Linked DNA regions of Nothobranchius furzeri. The protein of the gene in region 1 interacts with the protein of each later gene in a biochemical or structural test. Links are inferred from orthologs where the notes say so. Each region holds a gene or a part of one and is shown in the gene's direction. Other genes may lie near its edges. The genes, in order: ras-related protein Rab-6A, kif20a, bicd1a and ocrl.

What was found.
Region 2: the proteins of ras-related protein Rab-6A (region 1) and kif20a form a complex in vitro, tested with the Homo sapiens proteins (2 studies listed by BioGRID). The link is inferred for Nothobranchius furzeri from reciprocal best matches to the Homo sapiens genes RAB6A and KIF20A.
Region 3: the proteins of ras-related protein Rab-6A (region 1) and bicd1a form a complex in vitro, tested with the Homo sapiens proteins (3 studies listed by BioGRID). The link is inferred for Nothobranchius furzeri from reciprocal best matches to the Homo sapiens genes RAB6A and BICD1.
Region 4: the proteins of ras-related protein Rab-6A (region 1) and ocrl form a complex in vitro, tested with the Homo sapiens proteins (2 studies listed by BioGRID and IntAct, with this or other methods). The link is inferred for Nothobranchius furzeri from reciprocal best matches to the Homo sapiens genes RAB6A and OCRL.

Annotation. Positions count from the first base shown.
Region 1 is NC_091750.1:48,852,684-48,861,077, forward strand, and holds the start of ras-related protein Rab-6A, read left to right. Parts: upstream 1-3,049; 5' UTR 3,050-3,324; coding exon 3,325-3,394; intron 3,395-5,861; coding exon 5,862-5,920; intron 5,921-5,996; coding exon 5,997-6,050; intron 6,051-6,497; coding exon 6,498-6,603; intron 6,604-6,746; coding exon 6,747-6,858; intron 6,859-7,060; coding exon of another isoform or gene 7,061-7,154; intron 7,155-8,026; coding exon 8,027-8,120; intron 8,121-8,394. UniProt on the Homo sapiens protein: The small GTPases Rab are key regulators of intracellular membrane trafficking, from the formation of transport vesicles to their fusion with membranes.
Region 2 is NC_091750.1:46,179,199-46,187,070, forward strand, and holds part of kif20a (kinesin-like protein KIF20A), read left to right. Parts: intron 1-1,498; 5' UTR 1,499-1,504; coding exon 1,505-1,675; intron 1,676-2,505; coding exon 2,506-2,616; intron 2,617-2,713; coding exon 2,714-2,833; intron 2,834-2,993; coding exon 2,994-3,132; intron 3,133-3,235; coding exon 3,236-3,411; intron 3,412-3,934; coding exon 3,935-4,031; intron 4,032-4,191; coding exon 4,192-4,404; intron 4,405-4,532; coding exon 4,533-4,644; intron 4,645-5,063; coding exon 5,064-5,138; intron 5,139-5,218; coding exon 5,219-5,359; intron 5,360-5,445; coding exon 5,446-5,614; intron 5,615-5,682; coding exon 5,683-5,835; intron 5,836-5,976; coding exon 5,977-6,116; intron 6,117-6,282; coding exon 6,283-6,385; intron 6,386-6,477; coding exon 6,478-6,694; intron 6,695-6,769; coding exon 6,770-6,861; intron 6,862-6,944; coding exon 6,945-7,082; intron 7,083-7,460; coding exon 7,461-7,814; 3' UTR 7,815-7,872. UniProt on the Homo sapiens protein: Mitotic kinesin required for chromosome passenger complex (CPC)-mediated cytokinesis. Following phosphorylation by PLK1, involved in recruitment of PLK1 to the central spindle. Interacts with guanosine triphosphate (GTP)-bound forms of RAB6A and RAB6B.
Region 3 is NC_091744.1:88,313,875-88,322,473, reverse strand, and holds the start of bicd1a (protein bicaudal D homolog 1), read left to right. Parts: upstream 1-4,382; 5' UTR 4,383-4,479; coding exon 4,480-4,695; intron 4,696-8,599. Other genes in the region: intestine-specific homeobox-like, read left to right, coding at 479-592, 663-812. UniProt on the Homo sapiens protein: Regulates coat complex coatomer protein I (COPI)-independent Golgi-endoplasmic reticulum transport by recruiting the dynein-dynactin motor complex.
Region 4 is NC_091741.1:85,267,211-85,273,941, forward strand, and holds the end of ocrl (inositol polyphosphate 5-phosphatase OCRL), read left to right. Parts: intron 1-466; coding exon 467-586; intron 587-2,193; coding exon 2,194-2,278; intron 2,279-2,600; coding exon 2,601-2,728; intron 2,729-2,821; coding exon 2,822-2,933; intron 2,934-3,132; coding exon 3,133-3,257; 3' UTR 3,258-3,474; downstream 3,475-6,731. Other genes in the region: vimr2 (vimentin), read left to right, coding at 5,451-5,560, 6,501-6,645, 6,723-6,731. UniProt on the Homo sapiens protein: Catalyzes the hydrolysis of the 5-position phosphate of phosphatidylinositol 4,5-bisphosphate (PtdIns(4,5)P2) and phosphatidylinositol-3,4,5-bisphosphate (PtdIns(3,4,5)P3), with the greatest catalytic activity towards PtdIns(4,5)P2.

The DNA of each region.
Region 1 (8,394 bases):
TGAAAAGCTGTCCTGTAAAACCTATTTCTGGGCTCCATCATCCAGCATCCCCCTTTCTGCCTCCCCCCTCTCTCTCTCTCGCTCCACCTCCGTTCTCTTCCTCCTTCCCCTCTCTCCCCCGTTCCGGTTTGTTTGGATCTCAGTCCTGCCAGCTACCTCTGTCTCAATGGTCGGTCCCCATCTCTGCTCTCAGAGCTCTGTGCTCTCCTCTCTGTCCCTGTGCCTCTTCCTCGCTCATCGCTCTATCTCTGTCACACTCTGTGAGCATGCAACACCCCCCTCCCTCCTCCCTCCCCATCATCTCAGAGATCTGCTCCCTCTCATCTCTCTCCCTCTTTCACTCCCTCCCTTTCGTCTTCTCGCCTCCTCTGGTAAATGTGCTTGGATTGCTACCCTGATCGCTGCTTCACTTATGCTTGCAAGACTCCCTCCTGCTGTACTGCTGCACCTGTCTCAGGCTGACGCTGAACAGGGCGAATCTGAGATCTAACCGCACCTCCTGGCGTGTCTCAGCAACCCTTTGTTCCGGGACCTCAGCCGTGTTTCATGTTCACTTCAAATGATCTCTTCCTCTTTTAACCTCCTGGAGGAGAATCAGAGGAACTCTTCCATCACATCCACTATTTATCTCCTCACCTTTGTCTATCTTACTGTACTGAGTACAAAAACACACCTATTTGATCCTCACCCAACCTTAATGCCCTTTCTGTATTTCCTCTCATCGTGTTTCTCAGTTCCCCCACCCACCCTACATGCAAGCCTCCATGCTCTCTCTCGCTCCCTCTCAGGAGAAATGAGCAATGTATTGTACTTTGCAGTGACATTGAAAGCTGCATTCATTGGATTTATGTTAAGGTTGAGAGGAAGTATGCTGGTCCTCCACCATTACGCCCACAGATGCAGGCAAACGTACGGTGTGCAGTCAACACACTCACAGCCGCAAGACAAATACATCTGCATTCCTTCCACTAAAGCCCAGGGGAGAGGGTGATTAAACTAAAGAAAGAATCACAAAGTTGCTTCCCGAGATGTGAGTCATAGTAATAAGGCTTTCCCTTTCAGGACGCTGAGCCAAGTTCTGCAGAAGTAAACGACGCAGGGTGCAGCACAGCAATGTGAAGTCCTGGCTACAGAGCATGTCCTTGAGCTTTTATGGAAAATTCAAAATTATATTAAAGTGGATTCTCAAAGAAAAATGATGAAGTGAAGCCATTTTCCATAACCTTCCCTCCAAATGTGAACGCGGTAAAGATGAAGAGAGACTGGGGGGGACATAGATCTACCGAGATTTTGCCAGATCAGCATCTTCAGCAGGGGGACTGTGGAAAGGAGGGGTGGGGGTATTTTCCTTACCAAGGACATAAGGCGTAGGAGTGCTAAAGCAAAGAGGGGGATCAGTGGAGTGTGATGGCTTTGGTTTGGCAGAAGCAGAGCAGCTGAAGCGCTGGCATCAGCCAAACGGCACTCCGGGAATGGGACATGAATGAGAAGGGGCGCAGGTGTGTGTCTTCTCTTCAGTGACCTAGAAGGGTTAGCTAAAGCAGGCACAAAAATACCGCAGACTTTAACTCCACTGTAGGGATCCAGAATTTGGATATTTTTACATTTTTTCAAGTCAAATGTTGATTTCCCTTTTAAGGTTGTGTAATCTCACTAAATTACAACATCTCCTACTCTGAAACATTACAAAGGCCATGAAGGGACTTTGATTAGTGTTCTGACCTCTAAAACGTTCATGACGTGTTGTAACAAGGGAGGAAATGAGGATATCAAAAATGATTGTTAATGAATGAGAGTTGTGTTGAGTTTCAGGAGAGCACAGGTGTGTTAACAAGGGCTGCATTCCATTTAGAAGTGCTGTGTGAACCAGCTGCAGGATGGGAATGCAGTTCTGCTTTTCTTGCGAGGCCAATTGCATGAATTAAACAAGAATCAGACCCATTTTTATGAACATTTGCAACAAAATGAAACTTGTACTTTCACTCTGACACCCATCTCTGCATAGGGAGCTAAAGAGAGTCACCTTGTAAATTGCCAGAGGGCTTCATAACAGCTGTCGTCCTACAAGCTGGAGGTCACCAGCTGTAAAGGCTCCTGTAAACAACAGAATCAGATGACAGTTTAAAAACGTGTCAGACAAAGCCGGCTCCACAAAGTTCTACTATCACACCTACATCCTGTTAAACGTGATCTAATTTTTGTTAATGCCAAATAATTAATGCCAGTTGATTTTATGTTGAAAGGCTGCCAGCAAGTGCTGCCATCACTATAGTGACTATAAAACCACACATGTTAATCCTGCAGTGATGTCTCAAAATAGTCCACCCTGAGCAAAGACAAGTGACATTATTCAAGCATCAACAAGGCTGATGATCAGAAAAGTGCACACCAAAATAATGCACTCTCTTCCAAAATATATTGTAATTTAAATTTTTGATCTAACCTTTAGGTCTCCTTTGACCCCAATTAGTGACCCAAGTGTTGCTAATTAGCATTTTTGTTAAAAGCACTATTTGCAGCACAGATCTTGCTCGTTTTCCTAGTCTTTGTATTTACCTCATCAAATTAACTTGAGCAAATTAAACTGAAAACATTAGGTGTAACTAGGATGAAATAGCAAAATTTGCAAGAAAATAGTTGAGACAGATTTGTTGACTAAAATTTATTAAAGAATAAACTTATGGAGACTGTATCATACCGTGGTGATAAACACAACCACAGGACAGACCAGGTTCTTCAGAACAGCTCATAATAATTAGATTAAAATCTAAATTGCTTAGTGTGTGAAATGTCTGCAGTGGTGTGAGCCCGCCCTCTTGTGGACATATGAACATAAAACATGTGTCCAACACGAAACCCATGTTTTACGTTTCCAGATTTGTTTAAATTCTACAGTTAATCTAGAAATTATATATGAATGTAATCATAATAAATCCGTATTCTGCATGGTATAATCCAGCTATCATCTTCTTGCTGTTGAATTGTTTTCAGTTGTCATTGTTGTTTGTTTTTGTTTCACCGCTAGATGGCAGCATAACGGTTCGGCTGTAACAGCAAATACGGCGCGAAGAAGAAGTGGCCCGGTGTAGTTCGCTGATCTGCTGGACTGAGGCTAACTTGGTAGTAGTAGTCACAGAGTTGTAAAATAGTATATTAACGCTAAGAGGGGTGGTTACAGAACAGCACACATCAACAAGTGGACAGGTTTAAAGGCTGGCACACGAATTCCGGACCTTTAAATAGTGAGAACAGCTGCTTAGCTATCATTTAGCAGGCTAGCTGGAGAGTTTCTGAAGAGGATTGTCGGGTTCGTTTGATCCAGTCATGTCTACGGCCGGAGACTTCGGAAACCCTTTAAGAAAATTTAAACTGGTCTTTCTTGGGGAACAGAGTGGTAAGTTTCTCACTGGCTGGGAGAAATAAAAACTTAACTATATTTAAACTTGGTTTCCTTAGGATGTATAGTTGAGTTACTCCGGTGTTTAACGCCAGTCAGTTAGCCTGCTAACATTAGCTGCAAATCGTAATACTTGTTAAATTGCGACACAGTTGATGTCGTCTTGTCCACGCTGGCTCCGGCGTTCACTCTCACCTAGATGACTCATGATCGTGGAAATGGACTTGTTCACCAGGTCACTAACCGCAGTGGGCTCGAATACCAGCGTCAGTGACGTATGAAGTTTCATTTAGAAGAACACGGGTCAGTTTTAAGTGGCAAAAGTAGTAAAACGTTCGGTTTGATTATAAATACTTTCCTTTATGACGCTGCTACAGTGTTTTATCATTGTTTATTAACTAGCATTCCCAGCTTTAGTGTGTAAACGTAACAATGATTACATTCATCATCTTTTTTCCTACCCTTGGGGCACTTACCATAATCCAAACCTGCCTGGTCACATTCCTACACTCCCCCATTGACCTTTGTTCCAGTCAGGGTTCACAAACAATCTGCCCCAAAACTGAAAGATGTTTGCGGTACTCTGAACAGTGTAGTGCTGTTATTAGGTTAAGTACATGTATTTCCCTCAAGCTTTAGCTAAAACACCACTGTGTGAGCTTAATTTGGGGTTTCAGGTTGGTTTGGTTTAGCTGAACCAAGTCTTTTCTGTTCTTATGCAAGCTGTTGGTGACCCATTATAACAGAACTTCATGTAAAAGCTTTCTTTTTTTTATAATCATGAATATGTTTCTGATATAAAACCTTTCTGGAGATGAATTTATGCAGGAAAAAGACGATGTCAAACAAATGATGGCTTCTTATGTTTCTTGTTAACCTCTATGAAAATTTAGGTCCTTTTATTATCAAAAATGTTCTTATTTTTAAGTTTTTAACACATTTAAATGCTTCATCCCATGTTCACGGTCCAGTCTGCTTTGCATTACTTTCTGGGAATGAATAATATAGCCATATATTAGGGCTGCACAATATATCGTAAATATATCGTTATCGCGATATCAGCATGAGCAATATGCATATCGCAAAGAACATAAAAATATCGCATTGAATGGTCAGCTCAAATGTTTGCTTCACATAATGTGTTCTGTCAATCAGAAACATGATGTTTTTTTAAACAAATCAAAAAGAGCTCTTCACCCATTTGGCCAATCAGGTGGGATCTCATAGTTTAGGTGCCCGCCCCCGAGGCAAACGGCACATAATTTTAATGGTTAGCAAACACAGTTAGCTTTTTTCTGCTCTTTCTGCTGATTCTGCCTTTCCCGGGATCCACTGATCGCCTTTTCTTGATCGTTTTCTTTTTCCTTTTCCTCACATCTTTTGCGTTTCTCATTTTTATGATTTTTTTATTTCTTTGTTTTTGATTATTTTTGTTCCTGAATTAAGTTTTTATTTATCGAAAGTAATATCGTCATCGCAATATTAATCACTGATATCGAATATTGCAGGTTTCCCTAATATCGTGCAGCCCTACCATGTAGATTTTCCGAATAAACTCAAATCATCAAAGGAATGAGCTGCAAACAAATTTCCCTCTAATCTCTAATTTCCCTTTGGGATTCATAAAGCATTTTTGAATTTGAATGTACACACAAGCCCTTAGAGAGCCTTTTTCTTTGGTATGTCTGATGGTCTTCACTGCAACACTCACTTTCCTTTAGGGTGAGAACAAGACATTCTACAAAATCTGACCTTTCCTTATCATTCGGTACATTTATTTCCACGTGGCACAGCCTTTAATGGGACTCATCCAGATAAGGCAGACAGATATTGTGTTTGCTCATCTGTAATCAGCGGTTGGTCCTTGCTGCTGTGTTGGCTTCAGCTGTGTCACCGTCACTTGATGCACGCTGTAACCGATATTGTAACTCGAGCTCGACACAGAAACGGTCTGAGGCCGAGGAGCTCAGCCCCAGATCTCAAACCAACATGAATCCACTCAGCAGCAAATGTTCTCCACAAAAATACCCCAGATATACAGTATACTCCACTCAACCTTTACTTATACAGCGCCGTTCACAGAAATAAAATTCACAAAGTGCTTCACTGTAGATCTAACAATAAAAAGTAACATCAAGATATTAACAATAAAATTTTATTTATAGTATATAAAGTACTTTATGAATTGTTTACATATGCCAGATGTTACTTTAATAACTTTTAATTTATGAAATGTGAACAAAAACTTGAAGCTGTAATTTTATTACATTTGTGACAACGTGTCATTTTCTTTTGGGCTTTAGGTCATCATTGTGTTTTCTTGTGGAAGAAAACTCGATTCATTTATTTTAATTTGGTTTCATAAATATTCTGATGTTTTTAATCAATGAACTTATGTTCAATATTTGTCAAAAACTTTTATTTTGGTCATTTTGAAATATTTAGTCCTTTGTTTGTGTTTCAGTGGGAAAGACTTCATTGATCACCCGGTTTATGTATGACAGCTTTGATAACACATATCAGGTGAGTTCACCTATTCTTTGATTATAATTATGCTGATTGATGCTGACTAAAGGTAATTTTCCCCATTTGTTGTCAGGCAACAATAGGAATAGATTTCCTTTCAAAGACCATGTACCTCGAAGACAGAACAGTAAGTTTATTTTCATCTCCTGTAGGGTTTGGGTTGGTAAAGAATCTGTGTGTTTTCTCCACCAAACACACACACACACTCAGGGCTGGTTTTTCTCTCTAATGTGATTATGGTGCCATTTAGCTTCACTGTTTGTACCAAGTTTTCTCCCTCTTCTTCCCACCTCTGCATTAATCCATCATCACATTTTAAAACAGAAAACTTTACCCTGACGAGTGAAGGGTGACTTTTTCTTTCCCCTCCAGGCCCAGACAGCTTTTCTACCTGCATGCACTACTCCCTCTGTCTCTGTTTTCCCTTCAGCCATACTTTATTTGTTCTTCTTTCAGTTTGCTTGTCATCACATAAACTTAGCTTGTTTGTCTTTTTTTTTTATTTATTCCATTGTCTCTGTTTTATTAGATTTTATTTCTTTATTCTTTGTTCCATCCTCTTCCTGCCCTACAGATTCGGTTGCAGCTGTGGGACACGGCGGGGCAGGAGCGATTTCGCAGCCTGATCCCAAGTTACATCAGAGACTCGGCTGCTGCTGTCGTAGTTTACGACATCACAAGTAGGTGATGCCACATCTGGAAATAAAACACATCCTCATACATCCGCTGTTATTGTAATGTCTTCTTGTCGCTCATTCCTTTGATTTTTAGGCTTTCTCTTCCTGAGTAGTGATGCTCTGCTTCCTGTTTGGTTTCCTTTTAGATGTCAACTCTTTCCAGCAAACTACAAAGTGGATCGATGATGTGAGAACGGAGAGAGGAAGTGATGTCATTATTATGTTGGTGGGAAACAAGACAGATCTTGCAGACAAAAGGTAAGTTTTAAACCAGCTCAAATCACTGCTTCCATTTAAACACCAGCCTACCACCAGCCGATCTGCAGCGGAACAAGTTCTCTCTTCTCTTCGTTGATGTCATTTGTGATGATTGTTTTCTGATTTACGTCTGTCTAGTTGATGCTTTCGGTCTTCCTGTTTCTTTTTTTGTTGCATCTTTTAACTTCCTTATCTACCACAGGCAAGTATCTATTGAAGAGGGTGAGCGGAAAGCCAAAGAACTAAATGTAATGTTTATTGAGACTAGTGCGAAAGCAGGCTACAATGTCAAGCAGGTAAGGATGTGTGTGAGCCGTGCTCTGTAGTCCTGCTGCAGACGCTGCACACCGAGCTTCAGGACCAAAAGTCTCCCGCTCCGATCAGACCAGATGAAGAAGTCAACTTAAATAACAAAGGAGTTTTAATCAAAGTTGTGCAAATAGCTGTGAGATTGTTTTTCATTTCCTGTCTTGGTTTTCAGGGAATTTTGATACCTTTTAGAATTGTTGATTTAGGGTTAGAAATGAACATTTGTACCAAGCTCTCCTTTATTAACCTAAACAGCAAAAACCTGATCATGACCAGAAAATAGTGAAGGAATTTTATTTAAATAACAAGTTCAATTAAACTTTTATCCACTCAAATAATGTTTTATTTCCCACAGATGTTGTTGCGTTGTTTTAATTTGACTAGCATGTAAATTATTCTCTGACTCCATTGGCGTGCACATTCATATTCATAGTTTTCTTTAGACTTTTTTTTTTATTAACAAGCTTTACAGTCAGTTGGTTTATAATCTTTTTTTTTTTAATAAATGTAGGTGACTTTAGAGCAGAAGTCTGATGTAGTTTTGAGCATTTTTGGCACAGTGTGATCAACTTTATCTCCTTAAAGGAGAATCCTCCTTTTGCTCAGGGGTTTTCTGGGGGTGCGTTCACAAGCATTAGAGCTGCATGTAGAAGCCACAAATATTAAAGATGGCTGGGAGGCTTTTGGTCTGAGGTAAGGTGGCAGTAGCAGCAGGGAGGAGCACGGCTTGTTGATGTGCTTCAGTTTAATCACAGTGTGTTTTTGTGTTTTTCTCCTTTTGTTTGTTTTAATGTCTGGTGGATTGTGCGTGTCCCGGGGTGTTTGTGTGCTGTTCGTGGTGACTCCTGGCTCGTCACAGACAGATAACCACAGAGGAAGGAGAACAGAGAGCAAAAGAGATGAATGTTCTGTTTGTTGAGACCAGTGCAAAGACAGGCTACAATGTCAAACAGGTAGAGCGTGTGCAAATTTGTGAGTGTGTTCGTAGAATTCCTGCCTTGATTTGATTGGCCTCTCCTGCACACTCCCACGCGTGCACAAAGATGTGCTTTAAACCTCTGCTTCTGTGAGATGCATGAGATTAGTTTTTCAAACTCTCTCCCACCTGAACGTGATTTGTTTGGGCCAACTTTAAATTACCGTTGTTCTGACGGGTCAGAGTTTGCAAACCCAAGCCCAGCACTCTGCTGATTACCACGGTAACAGTGCGTGTGTTGCTAGGAAATC
Region 2 (7,872 bases), about 2.7 Mb from region 1:
ATGTGAGATCACTGGCCAACAAGATGGAGGAACTCCAAGCCCTTTCAAGGACTCACCCAGAGGCCTGTGCAGAGCAGCTCTGTGGGATTCTGCAGCACCTCTTCAACCTCAGCCTGGCCCAGGAGAAGGTTCCAGGCCTGTGGAAGACATCCTGCCTTGTTCCAGTTCCAAAGAAAACTCGCTCATCAGTTAATGACGACTACAGACCGGTTCCCCTGACATCCCACATCATGAAGGTCCTGGAAAGATTCCTGTTGGTCCACCTGAATAAGCAAACTAGGACATATCAGGCCCCGCTGCAGTTTGCTTATCGCCATGAGTTGGAGTTGAAGATGCCATCATCCAGCTGCTTCAACCAATCCACTGTCATCTGGACAAAGCAGGCAGCACTGTGAGCGTCATGTTGTTTGATTTCTCCAGTGCATTTAACACACTCCAGCCTGATGTACTTTGCCAGAAACTCCAGAAGACACAGGTGGGGGCCTCAACTATCACCTGGATCAAAGACTACCTGACAAACAGACCACAGTTTGTGAGGCTGAAGAACTGCACATCAAACCAGGCGATCAGTAACATTGGAGCACCACAGGGGACTGTACTCTCACATTCCTTTTTACCCTGTACACCTCAGACTTCCAGTACAAATCAGAGACCTGTCATCTACAGAAATACTCGGATGACTCTGCAGTTGTCAGGTGTATCAGAGATGGACAGGAAGCTGAGTACAGAGAGCTGGTGGAGCGCTTTGTGGCATGGTGTGGAAACAATCATCTGACCTTGAACATGAACAAAACATAGGAGATGATTTTAGACTTCAGAAGAAACAGGGTGGAGTCAAACACTGTTTCCATCATGGGAGAAGAACTGGAGGTGGTTGAGGAACACAAATACCTTGGAGTTCACCTGGACAACAGACTGGACTGGAGAAAGAACAGCGAAGCCGTTTACAAGAATGGACACAGCAGACTGCACTTCTTGGGGACGCTTGGGTCCTTCAATGTCTGTAGCAAGATGCTCCAGATCTTCTACAAATCTGTTGTTGAGAGTGTAATCTCTTCAGCCATCGTCTGTTGGGGTAGCAGCATCAGAAGCAGGGACCTGAAAATGCTCAACAGCCTAATAACAAAGGCTGGTTCTGTTCTGGGGACGACTGTGGAACCGCTGGAGGAGATAATGCAAGGAAGGATTCTCCAGAGAATCAAGAAAATGATGGACAACCCTGAGCATTCTCTTCACAAGACTGTCCGACAACGGAAGAGTGTCTTCAGTCAGAGGCTTCTTCAGTTTCGCTGCAACACTGACCGCTACTGGAGATCCTTCCTGCCAACAGCCATTGTAATATACAACAACTCTTTGATGACTTGATTATTATTATTATTCTGAGCTACTACAGCAATCAATTTCCCTCTGGGATTAATAAAGTATTTTTGAATTGAATAATCAGTCACTTTGACACATATTCACACTTGTTTCATACTGATAGCATTTTCTTTTGCAGTAGAGCATGGCACTGCCCCTGTCTTCCCCGTGTGGATACCCTTTTGAGGAGGAGGAGGAGGAATTACCTGTGTTTGAGTCTACGGTAGCAGAGAACGGCGGGCTGAGCAGACCACGTCTGCCTGAGATATCTGTCATTTCCCCTGGCCTGGACGGTCAGCCACCCCTCACAAGCCAGGTGAGATGGACGAACATACATTAATTCAATTCAGTTTATTTATATAGCGCCAAATCATTACAGTCGTCTCAAGGCACTTCCCAAAGTAATCATTCCAATACAGGTCAGTTCATTAAGCCAATCAGTAAAAAGTTTCCTTTATAAGGAACCAAGCAGATCACATCAAGTCACTGACTAGTGTCAGAGTCTTTACAGCAGTCCTCATGCTAAGCAAGCATGCAGCGACAGTGGGGAGGAAAACTCCCTTTTAACAGGAAGAAACCTCCAGACGATCCTGGCTCAGTATAAGCAGCCATCCGCCCTGACTCACTGGGGATCGAGAAGACAGAGCGCACACACACACACACACCATGTATACCAAGGCAAAAAGCAAAAAGAAGGCAGGAGCACTCAAAGTGACAAAAATGTGTCGAGTTTCTGACGAAGACACAAGCGGGTGTCAAAATTAGCCTTTTTTGTGACGTATTTAGTCACCGAGTGCTCCGGGCTTCTTTTTGCTTTTTTAACACATCATTGTTCTTCGCTGTGGAACATCAACTGGTTACTGTAATATGCACAGAGGATCTCAGAAGTAACATATATACCAAGTACTGTCTCTATGGCTACATTGTGATTTCTTAGTATATATTCTATTTAGTAAAATAAACTTTATTGTCTTTATCCTAGTGACTCTATAATTAACTCAACTGGTGAACTAGTAGTAGCACTTTGTATGTTAAAGAAAGTGAAATGTTATTATCGGGAGATGGAGAATGTTAAAGGGGTTATGTCGTAACAAAACCATTAAATGATGAAACAATAAATCTGTTAATAATTTTATGTTAAATCAGAATGTAGCAGCGAAACCCGGAGACCGTGACGACAGGAACTCAGAGAAGGTGAAGGTTTTTCTGCGTATTCGTCCACTCACTGATTCAGAAAGAGAGAAAGGAGAAGAGCAGGTGAGACGGTGAAGTTATCTTAATGTAACTATCAACTGAGTTTTTAGTTCTCTGCATATATTTGTTGCTGTTTGTGTAAGATTCACTCGTCTTTCAGGGTTGTGTGATGGTCCAAGATGAGGAGACTCTGCTGCTCAAAGCTCCACAGGAGTCTCAGAACATGAGGGCAGCAGAGAGAGGCGTCTCTCAGAGCATCCACAAGTTCAGCTTCTCCAAGGTAAAAAAGCCACAGCTTTACCGGATGCTTGGGAACATTTATTCCCTAATATGAACGTATGTTTAAGATGAATAACATCCTAGTATGTTTATTTACAATCAGTCCACAACAGTTGACCCAGATAGGTTTATTTATGTTTACATTTGTAATATTTTTACAGATTTTTGGTCCGGAGACGACTCAGCAGCAGTTTTACGAGGACACGATGAAGAAGATGGTAACCGATGTTCTTAAAGGAGAGAACAGACTCCTCTACACTTATGGTGTCACCAACTCTGGGAAGACTTACACCATCCAAGGTAGGAGGTGTGGTGTTTGTTGTCAGCTCCGTGATGTGGATGTTTCTACATGATGATCTGACATTTAATGATTTAACCTTAAACATCAACCTTGGACCTGCAGGCAGCGGTCGAGAGACGGGCCTCCTGCCCCGGGCTTTAGTGTCTCTGTTCAGGAAGCTGCAGGGGCGTCTCTATGGCGCCCTGGACCTGAAGCCAGTCATGTGTCAGGATGTGAGGCAGCTCAGCTCCAGTGAGATTAAGATGGAGGAAATACACAGAGACTCTCTTCTGAAAGAGGTAAACACAAAACATCCTTATAGTCCTGAGGAAGACTTTATTTATTTCATTTGCATAATCTTTACCTGTTTTTATGAGTTTAGAGTGAAGTTTGGCTTCTGGTCTGCAAATGAAAGTCCCCAGATGAAAACCGTCTGAATCCATGTTTCACAATGACTTGGCTTATTTTATCAACACTTAAAAGGAATGCATAAAATGCCAAATGGTTGCTCCGAAATACCACTCAGTTCTGCAGCTCTTGAGCTGCAGAAAGATGCAGCTTTAGACGACAGCTAGGTTGAAGGGAATGTTTCTGGAGAGCGGGACTGCAGCCTGTCCAACTCCGTCATCGGGACCGAGTTTTCAGCGGCAAACACAAAGTATTCAAAGCCCACGCGGAGGATTTTCTCGGGACTTGGGGAAACAACAACAGCGAAGAGGATTAACTTTTGCTGAATGCCGTTTTTAAACACTTCTCCCCAAAAGAATTCACTCGAGTGAAAGGTAACAAAGCTGGACTCGTGTTTCATTTGTGTTTTTACAGGATGGGAATCTTTCTTCTCGCCGCGCCGGAACCACGACAGTCTGGGACAGTGGCATCGGAGGACTCTCTACAACTAGCTTCACCACTCAGCCTGAAGGTGAGGCGTTAATCAGACTAAGAAAAGCATCAACCGTTCTGTTAGCCAAAGATTTCATTCCCAGCTCCCCGTCGGTCCCGTTTGCACTTGTATAAAAACATAACTAGAGTTTAAGTCTCAGCTGTGTAACTGATGTGTGTGTGTGTGTGTGTGTGTGTAGATGCTAACACCGTGTGTCTGGAGCCGGACAGTCTGTCCCTCAGTGGGGGGGTGGACCTGGAAGAAGGGGTTCAGTTTTCCATCTGGGTGTCCTTCTATGAGATCTACAACGAGTTCCTTTACGACCTGCTGGAAGCTTCGCCCTCCCAGCAACCCCGAAAGCGAGCGACGCTGCGTCTGAGTGACGACAAGCAGGGCAACCCCTACGTCAAAGGTAATTCAGACTCTTTGCTCCTCTAGTGCAACTGCTTTGGGGCTCTTCTTGGAGAATGGTTTCCATTGATTTCACTTTTATTTGGACACAATACTTGCTACTTTTATAATTTCCTTCTGCTACATCAGATCTGACCTGGATCCAAGTCCGCAGCGCCGAGGAAGCTTGGAGGATTCTGAAGGCTGGACGTCGTAGCCAGAGCTTCGCCAGCACCCACCTGAACCTAAACTCCAGCAGGAGGTGGGCAAACATTAAACTTTTGCTTTGGGAAAACATGTTTAGCAGAAAAGTTACAGATAATTGGCTCGTGATTGGAACTGGCCGGTATTCACGATGATCAGCTTAATGGGTGATTGGCAGATCTGAAGTAAAAAAAATGGCTTTATTATGTTTTGGTCCAGGATTACACCTTTGTGATGCAGCCATACAGACTTGGGAAGTTTCCTGGTGGGTGAACCCGCCATCACCGAGTGCTGAGTCGTGTTAACGATATTTCTAAAGTTGTTGATTTCAAACAGCTCTTTGAGACTAACCAGAATCAGAGTTAAGCTGCACAAAAATAGGAAATCGTTATCGGCCCTAGAAACCAGAATCGGTGCATCTCCGGTATTTAGTCGGACTTTTTGCGTTGCTCATTGTAAAATCATTTCTGATTTTAGCCACAGCGTCTTCTCAGTCCGTGTGCTGCATGTCCGCCCAGAGGCCGCTTCAGGTCAGGCCATGCACATCAGCGAGTAAGTTTACCCTTTATTACTGTAAACTTCACCTGTTTTACTGTAAAAAGTCCTGAAGCTAAGCTCCGTCTGCCCGGCAGACTGACTGTGTGTGATCTGGCCGGGTCTGAGCGCTGTAAGGAGCAGCGTAACGGTGAGCGGATGAAGGAGGCCAACAACATCAACACCTCCCTCCTGACACTGGGGCGCTGCATCGCTGCCTTAAGGCACAACCAGAACAAGTATGCTCCGAACCCGGATGGTTATGCAGTATAATAAAAAAATGCAGTTTCTAAAATCTCCTGGAACTTTTTTAACTCGTCTGCAGGTTGCGACCCCCTCAGGTGGTGCCCTTCAGGGACAGTAAACTGACCCGGGTTCTGCAGGGATTCTTCTGTGGCCGAGGGACCTCCTGCATGGTGGTCAACATTAATCCGTGTGCATCCATCTACGATGAGACCCTCCAGGCACTAAAGTTCTCTGCTATCGCTACCCAGGTAAAAACAAAACACTCCCACACGCCATTAACTTCTGAGTTCAGAGATGAGGCATGTTGTCATTTCAGCTCGTCCACGGCCCGTCCACAAAGACCAGAGTGGCCTACATCCTGTCGCTACTGTGCGAGCCGGCGGCTAACCGTGATGGAAGCACAGTGATGGAGGAAGAAGAGGAGGAAAGTGATGTTGAAGATGGAGATATCACGTTGTTGAATATGGAGGTGTGTTTGAGTTTGCAGACGCGGGATCTCGTAGTGCTTTGTGCACGTTTGGATAAATGCAAACATTCAAGATAAACATGAGTTCAAGGTGCATTTCCATCTACAGCGAGTTGTTCTAACACCCGGTTGTACGTTATTAAGACTCTGCTGCAGGTCATCGATGTGCTGAAGAGAGAAGTGCGCCGCCAGCGAGTGGAGAAGGAAGTCCTGGAGGCTAATGTGAGGGAGGAGGTGGTCTCGGAGGTGATGGTGGTCATGTCTGACATGCGGAAAGGATTCAAGTATGTGTGCTTGGTTTTGTTCTTGCTCTAATGTACGCAGAACCTGCCGTGGCATCATGTTTTAGATGCTTCTGAACTAAATAGTAAACACACAGCTGATCGTCAAGCGAGAAACAAGAGTGACCTGTTTGACATTAAGATGCTAGTCTGTCTTCTTGTCCTGAAGCGAGTCCTTGGAGGCTGAAAGGGCCATAATGGAGGAGAGATGTGAGGACAGGATAGCTAATCTGCAGAAACACCTGAAGATGTTCTACAGCCAGCAGCTTCAGGTGAGGGTTTGGACTTCTTTAAAGCTTTTGTAAGGTCTTCTCTCTAATCCTATCAAAGGTTTGAGGAGAACCTGCTTCCTGTGTTTCTGTAGGAGCGTGATGAAGAGATCAAGGAGTTATCCACTGCCCTTGAACAGGAAAAGAGGAAGCACGAGTCTGTGCCGTCCACGGCCTCTCCTGTGGACTCGGAAGGCCCTCGGCGCTCTCACCGCCTCATGTCTCAGGCCGAACCGAGGCTGCACGCCGAGCTCGATCAGTGTCGCGCTGAACTTGATCAGTGTCGCTCGCAGCTTTTCACAAAGACCCAAGGTCTGGCTGCATGATGCTTTGTGTTCTAGTGTTGGGATGCAGGTGTTAACAATCTCACTCTGCTCGCGTCTGCAGAGCTGACAAAGCTGAAGATGCAGCTAGAAGTTCCAGGTTCAGCTGGCGCCATCACCAGTGCTGCTGACCGCAAGCTGCAGGAGGGCCAGAGGGTCAGTACCATCTTAGGTCTTAACCCTACCCGTGACCCTCATCGCCTTCACGGACAACAAAAATGTCCTTTCCCTTCCAACAGAACCTGCAGAAGCTGCGTCTGGATTTGCAGAGGCTGGGAACCGATCTGCAATCTGGAGAACGAGCTTGTTGTCGTAACACCGGAGGGGAACGGCTGCGTCACACGCTAACGGCAGCAGACGAGACTCTGGCTAAGCAGGTACAACGTGTGAAAACCGAATAAGTTTGTTTCCATTTCTGTTCTGAAGCAGCGCTTTAGTCTCAACATGCAGAAAACCTGGTTAACTAGCCCGGTTCCCGCCTCTTCAGCTGTAGTTTTACTTTCATGCTGATTATAATGTCAGTTCTCATGTTGACCTATGCTCTCTCTCTCTCCCTCTGTCTGCTCTCCTAACACTCCTGCTGCACAGCCAGCTTTAAAACTACATTTAGGTTTCTAACGTCTTCACCAGGTGTTTGCTAAGCTAATCAAAGCATGTAGCATTTTTCCTCCCACTCTTTTCATCCTTCCACCCCCACGATCTCACCCTTCCTCCGCTGTGGTCTGGTCTAACCCTGTTCACTGACTCTTTCTCAGAACCAGATCCTGATGGAGCTCCAGAACAACCTGACTCTGGTCAAGGCAGACTTGAGGCGAAAAGCGGAGACTCTGGCGGGGTGTGCCCAGCTGCCCCCTACGAGCTTCGCCGCTCCCACCACACCTGGTTCCTGCAAAAAGAGAGGCGGCACAGCGACCACCCCAGCTGGAAGCGAAAACCACCCTCCACAGAAACGGCCTTTCTTCCAGTCTCTGTTCCCGCCTCGTAAATACAACACCCGCGTCGCCGAAGAAGCCTGCATGACCCCGTACACGCGGATCCTACGATCACGCCAGCCATCTCCTCCTCCCAGCCCTGTCCCGACCCCACGCTCTCTCAGGGGCAAATACTGAGCTCCTCAGTGAAAAGCCTTGCTGCTGCTTAACTCTATGGCATTGCTTTATATTTGAG
Region 3 (8,599 bases), on another chromosome or scaffold:
TAATAAAAACTTTGAATTTTTACACACATATGAAGACAATTTTTATTTTATGTCAACTATTTGAACACTTTTTGTTGCTTTTCCCACTGATGGTGAATAAATAAAACATCTGTTTATTATAATGTTTGCGGCATGATCATCCAATCCAATCCATTCCAATTTTATTTATAAAGCGCATTCACAAGGCATTACAACCAAACAAGGCGCTGTACACTAAAAATGTTAGTTAATTAAACAGGCGTTATACAAACATGTCGAACACAGATAAAAGATAAAAAGGAAATACAAGAAAATTCCCAAAATAATGTTTGCGGCATGATCATTTAAAAACATAAACTACGTTGCCACATTGGGTTAATTGAGGGTTTTGGAAATTTTGTGAGTTTAAATTTTTATTGTTAGGCTTTTAAAAATGATGCAGTCAGCTGATTTATTCTGATCAAACTGATTTTTTACTAAACGTTTTGTCGTGAGTCAGATTTGGTTCCAGAACCGCAGAGCTAAATGGAGAAAAACTGAGACTGTAAAGGAAATGGAGCAGATGAGCAGACAGCGCTTACATTCAAACCATCACCACCTGCTTTATCGGGAGGTAATGTCACACAGATTCAAACTTTACCAATCCAGCATGTCACTGTTTTATCCTTTGCCTGCTCTTCCAGGAGGCCTTACACTGGCTGCCACGTGTCTCACCTGAACCGTTTCAGTCGAGGCTTTTCTTCAGACCCGCATCAACACCGCTTCTGCTGACTTACACACATTCCCCAGGTCACAGGACTCAGTGTTTTGACAGGTTGGGGACAAAACGATAGCTCCCTGACTATCTGGCTTTGTTAGTGGATTGTTTTCTCATCAGACGTGATGAATTGATCCTAACGAGTTTCTGTGGTTGAGCAGCAAGCTTTAATCTGTGAAAAACTTTAATTGTCAAATACGGTACACAGTGTTGATAAACTCCAATATTGCTGCTCATCAGCAAGCAGGGGATTTGTTTCCATTCAGGAATTAAAACCAACCTTTAAACCCTTTCTCTGGCTTTCTTTAAACCATTAAAACCTTTTGATAAGTCTGCTTTGATTTATTTGTACATATCAGGATTTGAAGGCACACGCCGTGCCCGCCGGTAGACACTGTGTTATTGCAGAGCATATTTAGGCTTTTTTTTTCATGACACCACACTTCCTTGTAGGAGATAAGATAGAGCCGTGCCATGAAAAGTTCATCTGGTTGACTTTCTGACCACCTCTCCTTATCTTAATTTGGATTTGTAAACCGAGGTTACTCACAGGTCAGCTGAGCCTTAACAAATCAGTTCAAAGGGGGAAATATAAGCTAATGCTAACTGTTTACCTGAGCATTCACCATAAAATAAAGAATATCCGATTGTGTTATGTTTTACATTTTAATGCAGTTGGATGTGTTAAATTCAGCTTCTTCTCTGTAAAACCTACCTTTTGTTAACAAACTCTTGCATGAGCCAATTTTTAAATAATGACCACTTCTAAGAAAGATAGTGAAACACCACCTTCAACATCAATTTAACAACTGATTTGACAGGACCATAACTGATTACAGAGCTGAGAGGACGGTTCAACTTTTCACCCCGCTCATATCACCTTTTATTGCACGGGTGATACGTGTTACTGCAGCTGCACGGGCGTGTCTGAGCAGACAAAAATACAGTAGGTGGTGGGAAGCAACACAAACGCTTGGCCAAAAAAACCACAACTTTATGGAAAAGTGGGCATTGCTGGTATTTCTCTGTGTTAAAAAGTTGCATGTACCTTTTATGAATAACATGTTACCATGCGGGCCTACCCACCAAACAAAATCCTGGCATAATTACTGAAACAAGCTTTTAACCCTTTAATGGAACAAAATTTCATTCTAAACCTTAAAACTTTACATTTACACTTTAACCCTCCCACTGTCCTAATGGGTGTGACCCCGCGGGGTGAGGAGTGAGCACCACCTCACCCCTGCCACGTGGACCTCAAGGGAGAAACCAGCAATCCTGCTCAATGGTCAACCTTCCTCGCGGGGTCACCCATTAGGACAGTGGGAGGGTAAAAAGGCCACAATGCTCCAAATGCTCATTTGGATTAAAGGATGCTATAGTCTCAAATGAATGTTGTTTAAGTTATAATGTAAAAGGAGATTTTGTAATTGGAAACAGTGAAGGTTTATGTTTATCTGTTATTTTATAACCCAACGTGCTGACCGAGGTCGAGGATTTTTTCTTATTGCAGCATAAAAATTCATCTTGATGTAACTTTAGAAACTTTGGTCAGTGTTGCTTTAAAGTCATGCTGGGAAAATAAAGACGAAGGGAGTTTTCTGCCAGACAGTGGTTGAATTTTTGTTCCAAGTTTTTTGTAACCATTACGTAAAATAGTGTAATAAATGTGATGCCTAATATTGAATGTTTTGATGAACTGTGCTGTTTATGTCACACTGTAATAAACTGTTGGCCAGAATAACTTAAAAACTAAAGTTCAACAGCTGCCTTAAAAACTTGAGTCATGTCAACTTAAATAAACACTTTATTTCAACTCTTTCTGTCAAGTTGTAAATAATAAAGTAAATAATAACGATGCTTTGTTTGAATATTATATTGTGAGTCGAAACAACAAATCTTGTTAGGTTACAACGTGGAAAAATCATTTTGTCTTGTTAAACATACACACAATTCTACATTATGTTAACTTATAAATTAGAGTTAGACATGTATGGTTGTCCTTTCAAATTAAAAGTTTGTGTTAACTGAACAAATGGATGAAATGTTTGAACTCATGTTATCAAAACGGCCGCTGCCAGGGTTAGGGTTTAATACAGGCAAACGCTGAAGCAGGAAGCTAACAACACTGAAACATGCCGGCTAACTCACGCCTCACACACACACACGAGGAGCTGAGTCCTGAGCATTTAGCAACAACTACAACTTTAAGTGCAGTTTTGTGAAACGGCATAACGATCTTATTCCTACGACCACCCTCCTCACTTTCAGTGCCAACATGACAACAACAAATAACTCCACCGTTGGAACGCTAAACAAAGCAAAAACTAAGAACAACACAACCGCCCACAATAAATGTGTATAAGCACCTCAAATGGTGTTTATGCACTGAAACAGTGGGCGGGGGCATATCTACAAATTGCAGTTTTAAGTTGACAACGCACAAGAATGAGGAAAATACCATCATCTGTTGAAATAACAAGCACTTTTAAGTTTTCAATATCAAAACACACAAAACTGAGTTTAACAACTAAAACTTATCAGGGAGACTTAAGTGAAATAGGAAAAATAAATTGAAACTACTTTATGAGGCTGTCTTTTTTACAGTGCACAAACCTCTATAATTTTTATCACTGAGTTTCTATCAAGGTGTGGAGATGAGGATGCAAGTGAGCAGTGGGCAAGCAGGTAACTTAAGTTTTAAATAACTATAAGATCAGTACAGGGAATGACACAAACTACAAAAACAGGCTGAGTACCACAGCAGGGGGTAAAATACATGAGGAAGGTGAGAGGAAGGGCAGGTGTGCTGATAGTGATTACAGACAGCTGTGAGGGTTACCAGGGAAATGACATACCAGCTTCTTTTTTTAATAAAAGATCTGATCATCATCCATGCAGCTGACTTGTTTTATGTGCATGTTTGCTATTTTACAAGCATGCCTTCAGCACCAGAAATACAATACCAGTTTATCTCTATACCACATTTAAAATACAGCCTGGGAGCTGCCCAAAGTGCTGCAGATCGATTAAAACCGAATGAAGGCAAAAGCAATGAGGATAAAAATACTGAACATTAGAGATAAAAACAATAAGAACAATAAGAAACACATTAAAACAATAAAACGAGTCTCTGTCTAAAAGCCAGGTCGTAAAATTTGGTCTTTAAATGAATGTAATTTGTGCCAATAAAGTCTTTGGTGCAAATAAAAACAAAGCTTTATTTTTACAAATGTAACCAGAGGGTGGCGCCCTTTGACCCCTGAATATGCAGAAATTATTTGCTGTGTCAGAAAAAAGGTTGACCTTGTTTTGATTTTGAAGGTTTCATCTGTTTCACGTCATTTCTTTTCTGATTAAACCCAAATAATTTTGGTTTTAGTTGCTTCTCTTCACTCTCCGGGGGAGGAGGAGGAGGAGGAGGAGGAGGTGGAGGGGGAGGAGGAGGTGGAGGGGGAGGAGGGGGAGGAGGGGGAGGAGGAGGAGGAGGAGGTGGAGGAGGGGGAGGAGGAGGAGGAGGAGGAGGAGGAGGTGGAGGGGGAGGAGGAGGAGGAGGAGGAGGAGGAGGAGGAGGAGGGGGAGGAGGAGGAGGAGGGCGGATACTCAGCATCTCTCAGCCTCCGCCCGTCTCTCCCTCTCTTCCTCTCACTGGTTCTGTCTCCGCCCGAGACGAGTGACCGGGGAGGACCGCAGACCTGCAGGAGGTCCAGATCCAAAAGCCTGCGAGAAAGGGGGGGGAGGCGATGGCTGCCGGTGCGGGGCGCGGGGAATCGGTGGATCAGTACCGGGCCGACGTCGAGAGGCTCACGCACGAGCTGGCCGAAGCCAACCGGGAGAAGATCCGGGCTGCGGAGTGCGGTCTGGCAGTCCTGGAGGAGAACCAGGCGCTGAAGCAGAAGTATGCAGAGCTAGAAACGGACCAGGAGACTCTCCGGAAGGAGCTGGAGCAGTTACAGGAGGTAGGAGTTGGTCTCCTTATCCCAGCGACTTCAGACAGTGAGAGGATGGAAGCGCAGTGCGGCCAGCTGCGACCTCTCTTGGCAGGCTGGCTGCGGGTGAAGCGGTGCGGCATCCAGGGAGGAGCAGGCAGGAAGCGGTGTCAGCTGGAAGGGGGTAACGCTCTGATACCACAATAATGCATTATATCATATAATGGGTTAGGGTTAATTACATAATTTATATATAGAAAAATATCAACTTTATCTGGGAAATAAATGACATTTTATGTGCTGTTCTGTGCAACTCCTCACCTCAAGAGGCTGTTTCTATTTAGAAGACTTGTACATTTTAGGAAATCCTTAATGTTACGTATTATTTATTAAAAAATAAAAATAAAACAGTTTGGATCTTCATATTTGTGCAAATATAAATAAGGATGCAAGGCCAAAACGCTTATTTTATTTATTTCCGAGAAACGGTCACGTTTGGTGTGTTTACACTGGAGAAAAGTGCTGCGGGAGTCATCCTGACTAATGAATGCTGGGTGTGCTTATTGCTACATTCACTCATTATGGCGACATGGATCTGTTTATAGTAACAAGATGCTGATGCTGACAACGCCTCACAGTTCAAGGTTATGCAGAGCCAAAAAGCCATTGAGGCTCCATCTGAGACCCGTCAGTGTTTACGGACAAGCATCAGTGTTGCTGTGAAGGGTTGTTCAAATAAATGGAAATTTGTGTTTGGCTGAATATTTCTGCTGTTCTGTTGACGCACATATGCAATCATGGAGAGTCTGATTAGTCGTCTTCATATTAGCTTGTAAGGTTCATGCATGTTTTATTCCAAGTTTCCTGCATTTGCTTGTTGATCTAACGGATGCTTACTGCCGTTGATGTCCACACCCAGTTTGCACAAAGGACTAAAGCACGTAGAGTTGTGAGAGGTGTCCAGACACAGAGAGGAAACTGTGGGTGTTGTAACCAAAATCATTGCAATATTTAAAAAATAGTCAATATGTTTTTATGCAGCTCAAATGAATATTTATTTGGAGCTAAAACAGAAGATTGCACAATAGTTTTGTTTTTGTTTTCAGGCTGAATTTAAAATGTTTGTGCCTGTGTTAATCACACTCACATGTGCTTGTGCTGCACTTATTCTAATTTATTGAATAATATTAGCAGACCTACTTGTCCAATAATGATCTTCGTTAAGTCTGTTCACTAATCTTTCATCTAAGGAACTGGATTCCTCCTGGGTCCATGTGGCCCAGACGTTTATGTTCAATCCCTTTTTTAAAGTGTTGTTGGAAACTTTGCATCCTAAACAGTATTTAAAACCCCAAAACTAACAACACGAGGCCATGATTTCAACTGTTCTATGCAACTATGATAGCCATACAGTAAATGACTATTTTCATACGTCATCTGATTCTCACGTGGATCTGTTTTCATGCTTATTTTTGAGTTTTGGTCTTGGTTTGCAGTGAAGAGAGACTCGAGTTAGAGGCTGTCAAGATGAGACAAAACAACAAAAAGTCCCTGGCTTTGGTGACTGTAAAGAGACACAATGGTCTTCACCACACAGGGACTTTTATGTCCGTCAGTCATCGTTCACTCACAGAAAACATGTTTTTGCTTTTCATCCCTTTCATATCTGACTTGAGCTTCAGCCTCTTGTCTGTCCTCTGCTCAGATCTGTGTCCGCCGGCCGGCCTGTCTGAGTGCCTGTCACATATTTCCATGGATTTGAGAGCGGATGCCCGAGCAAACCTTCCACTATAATAGCATCATTTCAGCTCTCCCTGCACTCTGGAGAGGTGCCTCATCCAAACTGAAGATGGGAAATGGAATGACCTTTGGGATGGGAGGGAATATCACGTCTCATAATGCAGGAGAGCTGTTCTTTGTTTCAAAAAGACTTCATCTTTTAGCAACCACGCAGTGTGACATCATAGTTGCAGGTGTAAACTAGTTACCTTAGCGTTCATGCTGCTGCTGTGTGTGCTACTGGTTCTGTTTCTGTCCAGATGCCAGACGGTGGGGCCGAGACACATCTGAGTGACTCAGCTGCTTTATGAAACAGGTTCTATGAGTTATGTGAGGCACGCCAACAAAACCATTCAATCCTAGTCCGTGCAAATGTTGTTTATCTTTTTGTTGCCTGCAGGGCCCCAGCTGAAAACAGAAAGCTCAAATGGTGCTTTTGTATTGTTGATTCTCCTCTTCACTCCCATCTCTTTTGCTCTCGGCTTTATGGCCAAATCATGCTCTCATTTCTTGCATCCCAGCATGTGCGCACTGTGTGTGTCTGGATAGCTGCCTAAGCAGAGACAGAAACACCCCATCCCCCTGGTCCGGGCTGGTTATCGCTGTCTCCAGGCAGATCAACCTCTCCCTGGACAGAGTAGGATGCTGCTGGAGGCGGTTGGAACAAGTTTCGTGGTCTGAGCTGCATCTTAAAAGCGTTCCAGCCTTTAAAGGAAAACAGTTTCTCTCTAGAGCTCATGTTTGGTTTCTTTTTTTAAAGCTGTCATAGTGCGTGTTTTCAGTTCTTTTCAATATGAAGTTCTCATGCAAACAGACGTTCGATGTTTCTGACAGCTGAAGCAAAGGACGTCACTTCAGTTGGAGCGCTCCAAAACCGTGAGAACAAACGACAAATGACCGAAGGACTGAAGATGTTTATGTGAAATTGCTCATTGAAAAAACTCAGATGTGGTGCTTTAAGGTCGTTTTGTAAATAGGACACCTGATTAACACATTAAGAGTAGACGCCTAGCTATTTTTACCCACGTCTGATTAAAGGACACTTTATGTGTGTCTGGGAACCCCGGTGGGTTGAGGCCATCACAGGGAGGCTGTAAATCAGTTTGCTGTCACTAGGGAGAAAGAACCCATTACAGGTTGTTTCTTCTCTCCTCCTCCGTCTCCTTTCAGCTCCTCTTGTGTTGCAGGTGGGGTTGGAAGGAGAACCATAAACATGGAGAAGCTGAATCGATGCATCATCTTTTTTCCTCTAAACCTTCACCTCACCATCTCCGGTTACCTCGCTCCCTCTTTTTCCTCCTCCCCTCTGATCCCCCTGCAGTGAAGTGGTAATCATGCATTGATTTCTGCTCTGCTTGGTGATCAAGTATCATGTCAGAGCTGAGCTGCTCTCTATTGTGGATGATGCAGCTCACACTGTACATGTTGATGCAAAGACATCTGACAGAAGTGAATGCCTTCACAGTGAATTAATAATAATAATAATGCATTGAACTTATGTAGCGCTTTTCAAGACACCCAAAGACGCTTTCACACACTGCCAGTGATGGTAAGCTACTTGTTCTGTTCTGGTCCTGCTGGACCTGACTGCAGCCTTTGACACTGTTGACCATCACCTGCTACTGGAGAGGCTGAGAGACTGGGTAGGCCTATCAGGATCTGCTCTGGAGTGGTTCTCCTCTTATCTCTCTGAGCGCTCCTTCTCTGTGGCCGTCTCCAAGTTTAGGTCCTTCACCACCTCTCTTACCCATGGTGTCCCACAAGGTTCTGTGCTGGGGCCTCTGCTCTTCCTCCTCTATCTGCTTCCTCTTCAGCACATCCTGAGCTCCTTCAAAGGAATCTCCCACCATCTTTATGCAGATGACATCCAACTGTACATCTCCTTTAAGCCCCATGAGATGTCTAAGCTGCAGCTGTTACACACCTGCTTAGACTCTATCAGAACCTGGATGGTGGGAGCTTTCTTCAGCTGAATGAAGATAAGACTGAGATCCTCATCTGTGCCCCAGACAAGCTGGTTCCCAAAGTCAGAGACTCTCTTGGTCAGCTTGCTTCTCACACCAAACCCTCTGTCAGGAATCTTGGCGTGACCTTTGACCCAGCTCTCACCCTGGATTCTCATGTCAGTTCTCTTGTTGGCTCTTCCTTCTTCCAT
Region 4 (6,731 bases), on another chromosome or scaffold:
TTCAACTTTGTAAAGAACAAATTATTTAATAAGAATATTTCATTCATTCAGATCAAGGATGTCTTATTTTTTTGAGCAGTGTATTTTATAGAGTAAAGTATTCCATATTCTTGTTTTGGTGATACCATTCTCCACATAATTGCCCTCATGGTGCCCTCCATTTTTCCATGTGTTCATGAGCAGCTTGAGTAGCTGTAGTTATTTTTGGACCTCTCTCCTGAGTGCCGAGGATTCATTTGCAGAAACCAGTAGAACCTGATACCCAGCTCACATTCAAGCCCTCTCGGAGATTAACTTGACCTCGCTGTTGTTCCATCAATAAGTGTTCGCATGATCCCCTTTTATTGTTTATTTTTACACTTTTGTCAAACTGCATGAATCTTGTTGTATAATCACAATGCTGCAACATTATATAATTATTTTGATCATAATAGAGTTGTGTTAAACATTATTTTCTGCTAATCAGGAAAAGTCCAAGGTGACCTTTCTGATGGCTGATGGAGCAAGTTCTGACGACATACCTTTGAAGATCCCCAAGGAGGTGTGGGTCCTGGTTAACCACCTTTACAAAAACTCCTGTGATCAGGTGAGAAAACTAAAACCGATTTGAAAAAGCCAAAAAGGAATGTAGCATATTGCTAAATCAGCTTTTACAAAACCATAGTTTTATAAAGGCATTTTCAGCTTCAATTATCTTTTATTTTTGTGACATTTTTATTTGCATTTACTATTTATTTTTGTATATAAATAAAATGTATGTACTTAACTTAAATGTCAGCAATTCATACATGACACAGAACTTGTGGTAATAATGTGGTATTAGAATAAACTAAATCAAAGGTTTTGTGTTCATTCTATAAAAAACACATTCTTCAGATGAAACAAAGCATCACAAGTTTGAATGTGCATATATTTCACTATGTGGCTATAACACAAAGCAAAGATAACATTTATTTAGATTATACAGATTTGTCACACAGAATGAACCTTTTTTAAATGAGGATTTCTGAATGCGTTATCTGAACTGTGACTGACCTTTCCTTTATATTTGTTGTGTAATATCTGAAAAGCAGCTAATAGCCGCTGTTATAGATATGGGTATGTTTCCAACTTGTGGATGGATCCCAGAAGTGTAGCATCACTCAGCAAAATTTACCTTTTGGGTCTAGTTTTTATGCACTGCGCTTCCAGAACGTGTCAAGCTCAACAGTTTAGGTTGGGCCAGACAGGAAGTTAAAGGTGGAATATGGAACACAAACACCAATGTGACATCTAGTGTGTGGAGATTTTAGTTGCAGCAGTAGAACAAGATTTCCAGCCGTCTGGATACCAGTTTTGCTGCTGATACATGAAATGTTGTATTTGGGTCTATTTATTGGAGGCTTCACCTAAACTCACTCTGGTTTATGCTTCTTTCACACTAACATCGGCTCCACAACGCCCGAATAGCCCCAGTCAGCCCCAGCCCAGCTTGGCCCAGTTGATTCCACACATCCTTGCTTAAGAATGCAAGGAGTGCAGTCAGAGAAGTTCTCAGCTCCTAGGTAATCAGCATGATAATGCCCAAAGCCCAGGTGGGCTGATTCTACCCACCAATCGGACACTTCTCCTAATGGAAGGTGTGAATTTGAGCCGGCTTATCAGTTAGCAGTGGGTGTGCTGGCCCTGATCATCCTGAAGCAGACCACCTCAGGAAGAGGGCTGAAAAACAGTCTGGTTGCACCCTGAAAAAAAGCAGGCTATGCTAATGCGAACACTCTATGCTATTCAGACCACGTGGAGCTGATGCTAGTGCGAAAGGGCTTTAGATCTTTTGTGAAGGACAACAATCTTCTTGGCTCAGAAGCATTTGTTTGACTTGGTGAGTCCACCATTTTCCACAATGCCAGCCTCTCTGTGCCGAGCAGACTGTTTGGCAACCTGCAGTAGTGCCCTCTAATGGCTGGTAGATGTAAACATAAACCCAGTGTCTTCATAATAAATGTTCAATTTTTTTAAAATAAAAAAATGCAAAAAACGCGCCTGTTACACTACACGGTGCTTAAGCATTGAGTGGAAAGCCAGGGTTTGGCTGAGGTACATTTTTGTGCATTGAAATCCAGATAGTGATGTAATTTGACTGAAATGAATGTGTGGATGATGCCAACTGGAGTGAGAATGCATTTAGTGTAAATGTTCCTTGTTGGTTTCCAGGAGGACCTGTTTCAGACACCAGGCTTACAGGAGGAGCTGCAGAGCATCATTGACTGTCTTGACACCAGCATCCCAGACTCCCTACGTATCCTCCACTGTTCAGCCAGTCCAGAGACATGATTGCATTTTGTCCTTTATTTAATTTTTGTTGAAAATCTCAAGGAGCTGAACCAAATAAAAAACCACAAACCGATATTAAAATAAAACAGGTAGCATAATTTATAATAAAGAAAGCCCAGCTTGGGGTTTAATCTTAAGTGATGCAAGATTCTCCAGAGGTTACATCTAAGCTCTAATCACAACACCCAAATGACTCATGCTACATTACAGTACATGACATTTGTGTTTTGTGGTTGTGGACTCACTGGAATCCATGAAAACTGGCTCTTCCCTGACTGTTCCTGTAGCTGGCTGTAACCACTCTGTAGCCGAGGCTCTGCTGATCTTCCTGGAGGCGCTGCCGGAGCCCGTGTTGTGTTACGAACTCTACCAACGGTGCCTGGACTGTTCTCATGACAGCCGCCTCTGCAAACAGGTGGAGTCATTTCACAAACATGTACTGTGAAAGTTAGATGAGATCTATTTGTAATAATTTAGTGGTGTTTTATGTTTCTGCTTTGATGTTTAGTTAATCTCCCAGTTGCCTCGAGCTCACCGCAACGTGTTTCGCTACCTGATGGCATTTCTGAGAGAACTCCTCAAACACTCCACCAATAACAATCTAACGGCTAGCCTTGTTGGTGAGTACTGGACATTTTTGTCTCATTTGTCTACCACACTGCAGAGTAGATCAAAGGTTCGTTAAAGCAATAAGTATATTAAAGAAAGTCTGGTTATTATTATTAAAATGACCATATCAATATGAGAATCGATTACTTTCATTTATTACATTACAGAATTAAACAAAACTATTCTATAATATTTATTCCTGCGTTTCAGCTACCCTCTTTGCCAGTCTCCTCATTCGACCACCTCCTAACCTGATGAGCAGGCAGACGTCACATGATCGACAAAAAGCCATCGACTTCATTCTGGGTTTCCTCATGGCGAGAGATGAGGAATAACCAAGGCTGAGGATTCCCCGTGGTGCCGATAGGGCTGGAGCGGATTCTCAGCATGGCAGTCGACCCGGACCTGTGTTGCACTAAGTGTTTCAGACTTATTTTTGTGTCATCTGTTGGAGACCAGTGCACCCTCCGTTTGATCATCTGATATCTGAGGTACCGAAGACTTTCATTTGAAACTGTGTCATATCTTCAGTTGGTACATGGGGTGACCCGATGCTGGATGTGGAAACTGTTGGGAGAAGATGTCTGAACTGAGGCCTGTGCACTTTCTAATGACATAAAGGATGTGTAACCCCCCCGACCGGTCCTTGCTCTCAGCTCTTCTAGGTGCTCATGCCAAAATCTCAGTAGTGAGAGTTGTGAATGCAATAACACTATGTACACTGTAATAAATGACATTAACTTAACCAAGTAATGTCAGCTAGTTCCAATAAACCTCGTCGCTAAAATGTAGAGTAATGTACATTAGGTTTAGTGTTGACACAACTTGCTTAAGTAAATTCAACATTTCAGTTCTTGGAGCTTTCCCATAAAGGCTAAACAAAAGATTTACTTACTCTAAAGACAGGAATAGTATGTCCTTAAAGCTGTAGTTAGTTAGAATAATGTATGAGCAAGTACGTGTTTCAAACCCTCAAGTGGTTTTAGAGCATCCTGTCACTGAGAATCTCTATGCTTTAGATAAATCATGACAATCATTTGTTGCTGCAACAGTAAGATACTTTAAGTTCACGAATCTGTACTTTTTAAACAGCTATTTAAGTGTTTTTCAAAGTTTGCACCATTTTAGCAGTTTTTTTTTCCTTTTCTTATTTTTTTGTTTTTGCTGTCGTTAGGTGAGTTTTTGTACCCACATTAGTTAAAAACCACATCAGTTTTACCACCCACTTAAAGAAAAGTGTCTGCAAATGTTTTCAGTGTTTTGTCAAACCCTCTTGAGTAATGGCAGAAGTCAGTTAACACACTGATTCCCTGGTTAACCGGAATCAGAAGCGGTCCACCCTCTTGTTGTTTTTAATTTTTTCATGTCTTAAACTATGTAAATAGTCAACGTTTCGTGACTGTGTGGTGGTTTGACCCTGTGATGGTGTCTGTTGTGATGGCGGTACTGTTTGTTTGTTTACATGTGTTCTTCCTCACATCCGCTACACCTGAAAACTCATCTGTCTGTGTTTTTCTTGCACCTGTGTGCAGCCCTGGTGCTGTGTAAAGCTCTTAAGTGCTGCAGGATTTTTGAGGAGGAGACTAAACACAATGTCATGGATCATTGCTCTTCTCATGTCTGCTCTTCTTTCTGACCTGCACCACAGATTCTAAAGTTTTCTGTAGCTACTGTTATGTAACACACGCAGTTATAGAAATAAGGAACTCTTTCTGCTGTGTTTACAGGATATTTCCTCTTTAAACGTTTGACTCAACAGATGCAGCAGTTAGTTTTCACAATTTGTCCTGCCTGCTTCATTTAACCGTATTAATAGCTGAAGGATTCTTTTGCTGATGGTTTAGAAATCCAGAAGCATTTCATTTTATGAAGCCACCACAATATGGAAAATGAAAATGCTGAGGATTATAGTAAGTTGTTAAAATCCTCCTAGGACCTTAATTAATTTTCTTATTTGGATTTTCGTTTGTCTACCTGAAGTCAACACACTAAAATCCTCTGTTGGATGTATTTAAGCTGAGATTTGCCAAAGATGGCTGGAGCCTGTGAGTTTGTATGTGTTGTTGATGATTAAACATTTGGGAGAAACCATTTTGCAGCAAATCTGTTTACTTTGTCTTCATAGATGCAAACGAAACATAAATATAATCAACAGCTTCTGATTTTAGGTGTTAGTTCACACAGCTGTACCCTGGTGTGGACTTCTGTTTGGAAGGACAGTGAAACAAATGTTTTCCACTTAGCAGATTTTTGGAACTCTTAATTTATTTAAAGAAATAAAATAATGTACAGAGCCATGGTGTGTGTCTTTATCTTTACTTCCTTTGGAAAGTCTTCATAACAACGGTCTTGTGGATTTAACAGTTTACTTCTCAGGAACAAGTGAAATCCCTCCTGGCTGATGATGGTTCTATAGTTGGTCTGCTTCACCTCTCTGCTACATTCTCATTCCCCGTGATTATAAAACCTGCCACACAGCTGCTGTCGTCATTTTTCTGTTGTGTTTTATCCTGAATCTATCAGACATTATGGCAATGCTCAGGGTGTCTTCTTACCGCAAGCTGTTTGAGGATGAAAGCTGGAGTAGAGACGTGGGTTTGAGTTCACGGTGTGCAGGACGGTACCGGGCCTCTGCCAGGTCAGTGCAGGTCACACGTATTTTTCCAAGATTGGCTCAAATCTTATCTTGGAAATCAAATCTTGCATTAGATATTAGATCAAATGTGTTCGAATTAGTTTTATTAGTACTTGTGTTCTTGCTTTTGAATAGTTAAACTGGTTTTAAACAGATATTTTTACATTTGTCAGCAAGTTAATTGCATAAAACCCAATTTTAGATTTTCTCCTAGAATTAAACAGGTATCCACAGCAGAAATAATTAAGTTTTTGAACAAAATCTTAAAGGGGACATATTACGACTATTTTCTTAAGATATAAAAGCTCTATGGTTGAAATATGTTTCAGTAATTCTTTGCTTTTAATTTCTCTTGCATCAACTGATTTCAGCTGTTTTATTTTTAACATTTTCAGGACCTTTCAGAATGAGCCGTTTTAGGGCTCTGTCACTTTAAGAAAAGACGCTGGAGTTGGCCACACCCACCCATCCCCTACTCAGGTTGTTAAAAGCTAAGAAGCTCCAACATTAGGAGGGGGCTTAAAGTAGAGCCGCTGCTCCTCAAGCAGCAGCTGCTCTCTTTCACATGAGAGGTGCTTCTATTATAATTTCTTCGTTTGTGACATCACAAACGGGGACTTTTTGAAATGGCTCATTTTAGGCACATCATTTCATAAACCAGACACTGAAAGGAAACAAATGAGTTTTTTATGTTTGGAGTTTTTATAGAGGTAGTAGAGAAAAATCTAAACAACTAAACCCTCATTTTAACTTTCCAGTAATCAACAGGAAGAATAAATGAAGTGCAAACACCTGAGGGAGGATTGATTGTAAAATATTGGCACCTCTTGCTCAAATGGAAAGGTGTCAGGACCAGAAATGCACCAGAAAATTAAAAAGACCCTTTAAACATTGTTTTAACTTAAGCCCAGTTTATGATCATGTAAATCTTTTTTTTTTCCAGAGATGCAGCTGTTCACAAGCGCGACTGTATAAATGTAGACTTTGAAGCTTCCAAAGCTCTGAACAAAGAGGGTCTGAGTCGGTTTGTCCAGGAACGCTCATCCCTCGCTTCCCTCAACGACCGTCTGGTTCAACTAATTGAACTGGTGAGGAAAAACCACCAGAGCTACCAAACAAATCAGTCCTTCTGCTGTGTCATGCTCTGTTACATCTACATCTGCAGGCTCATTGT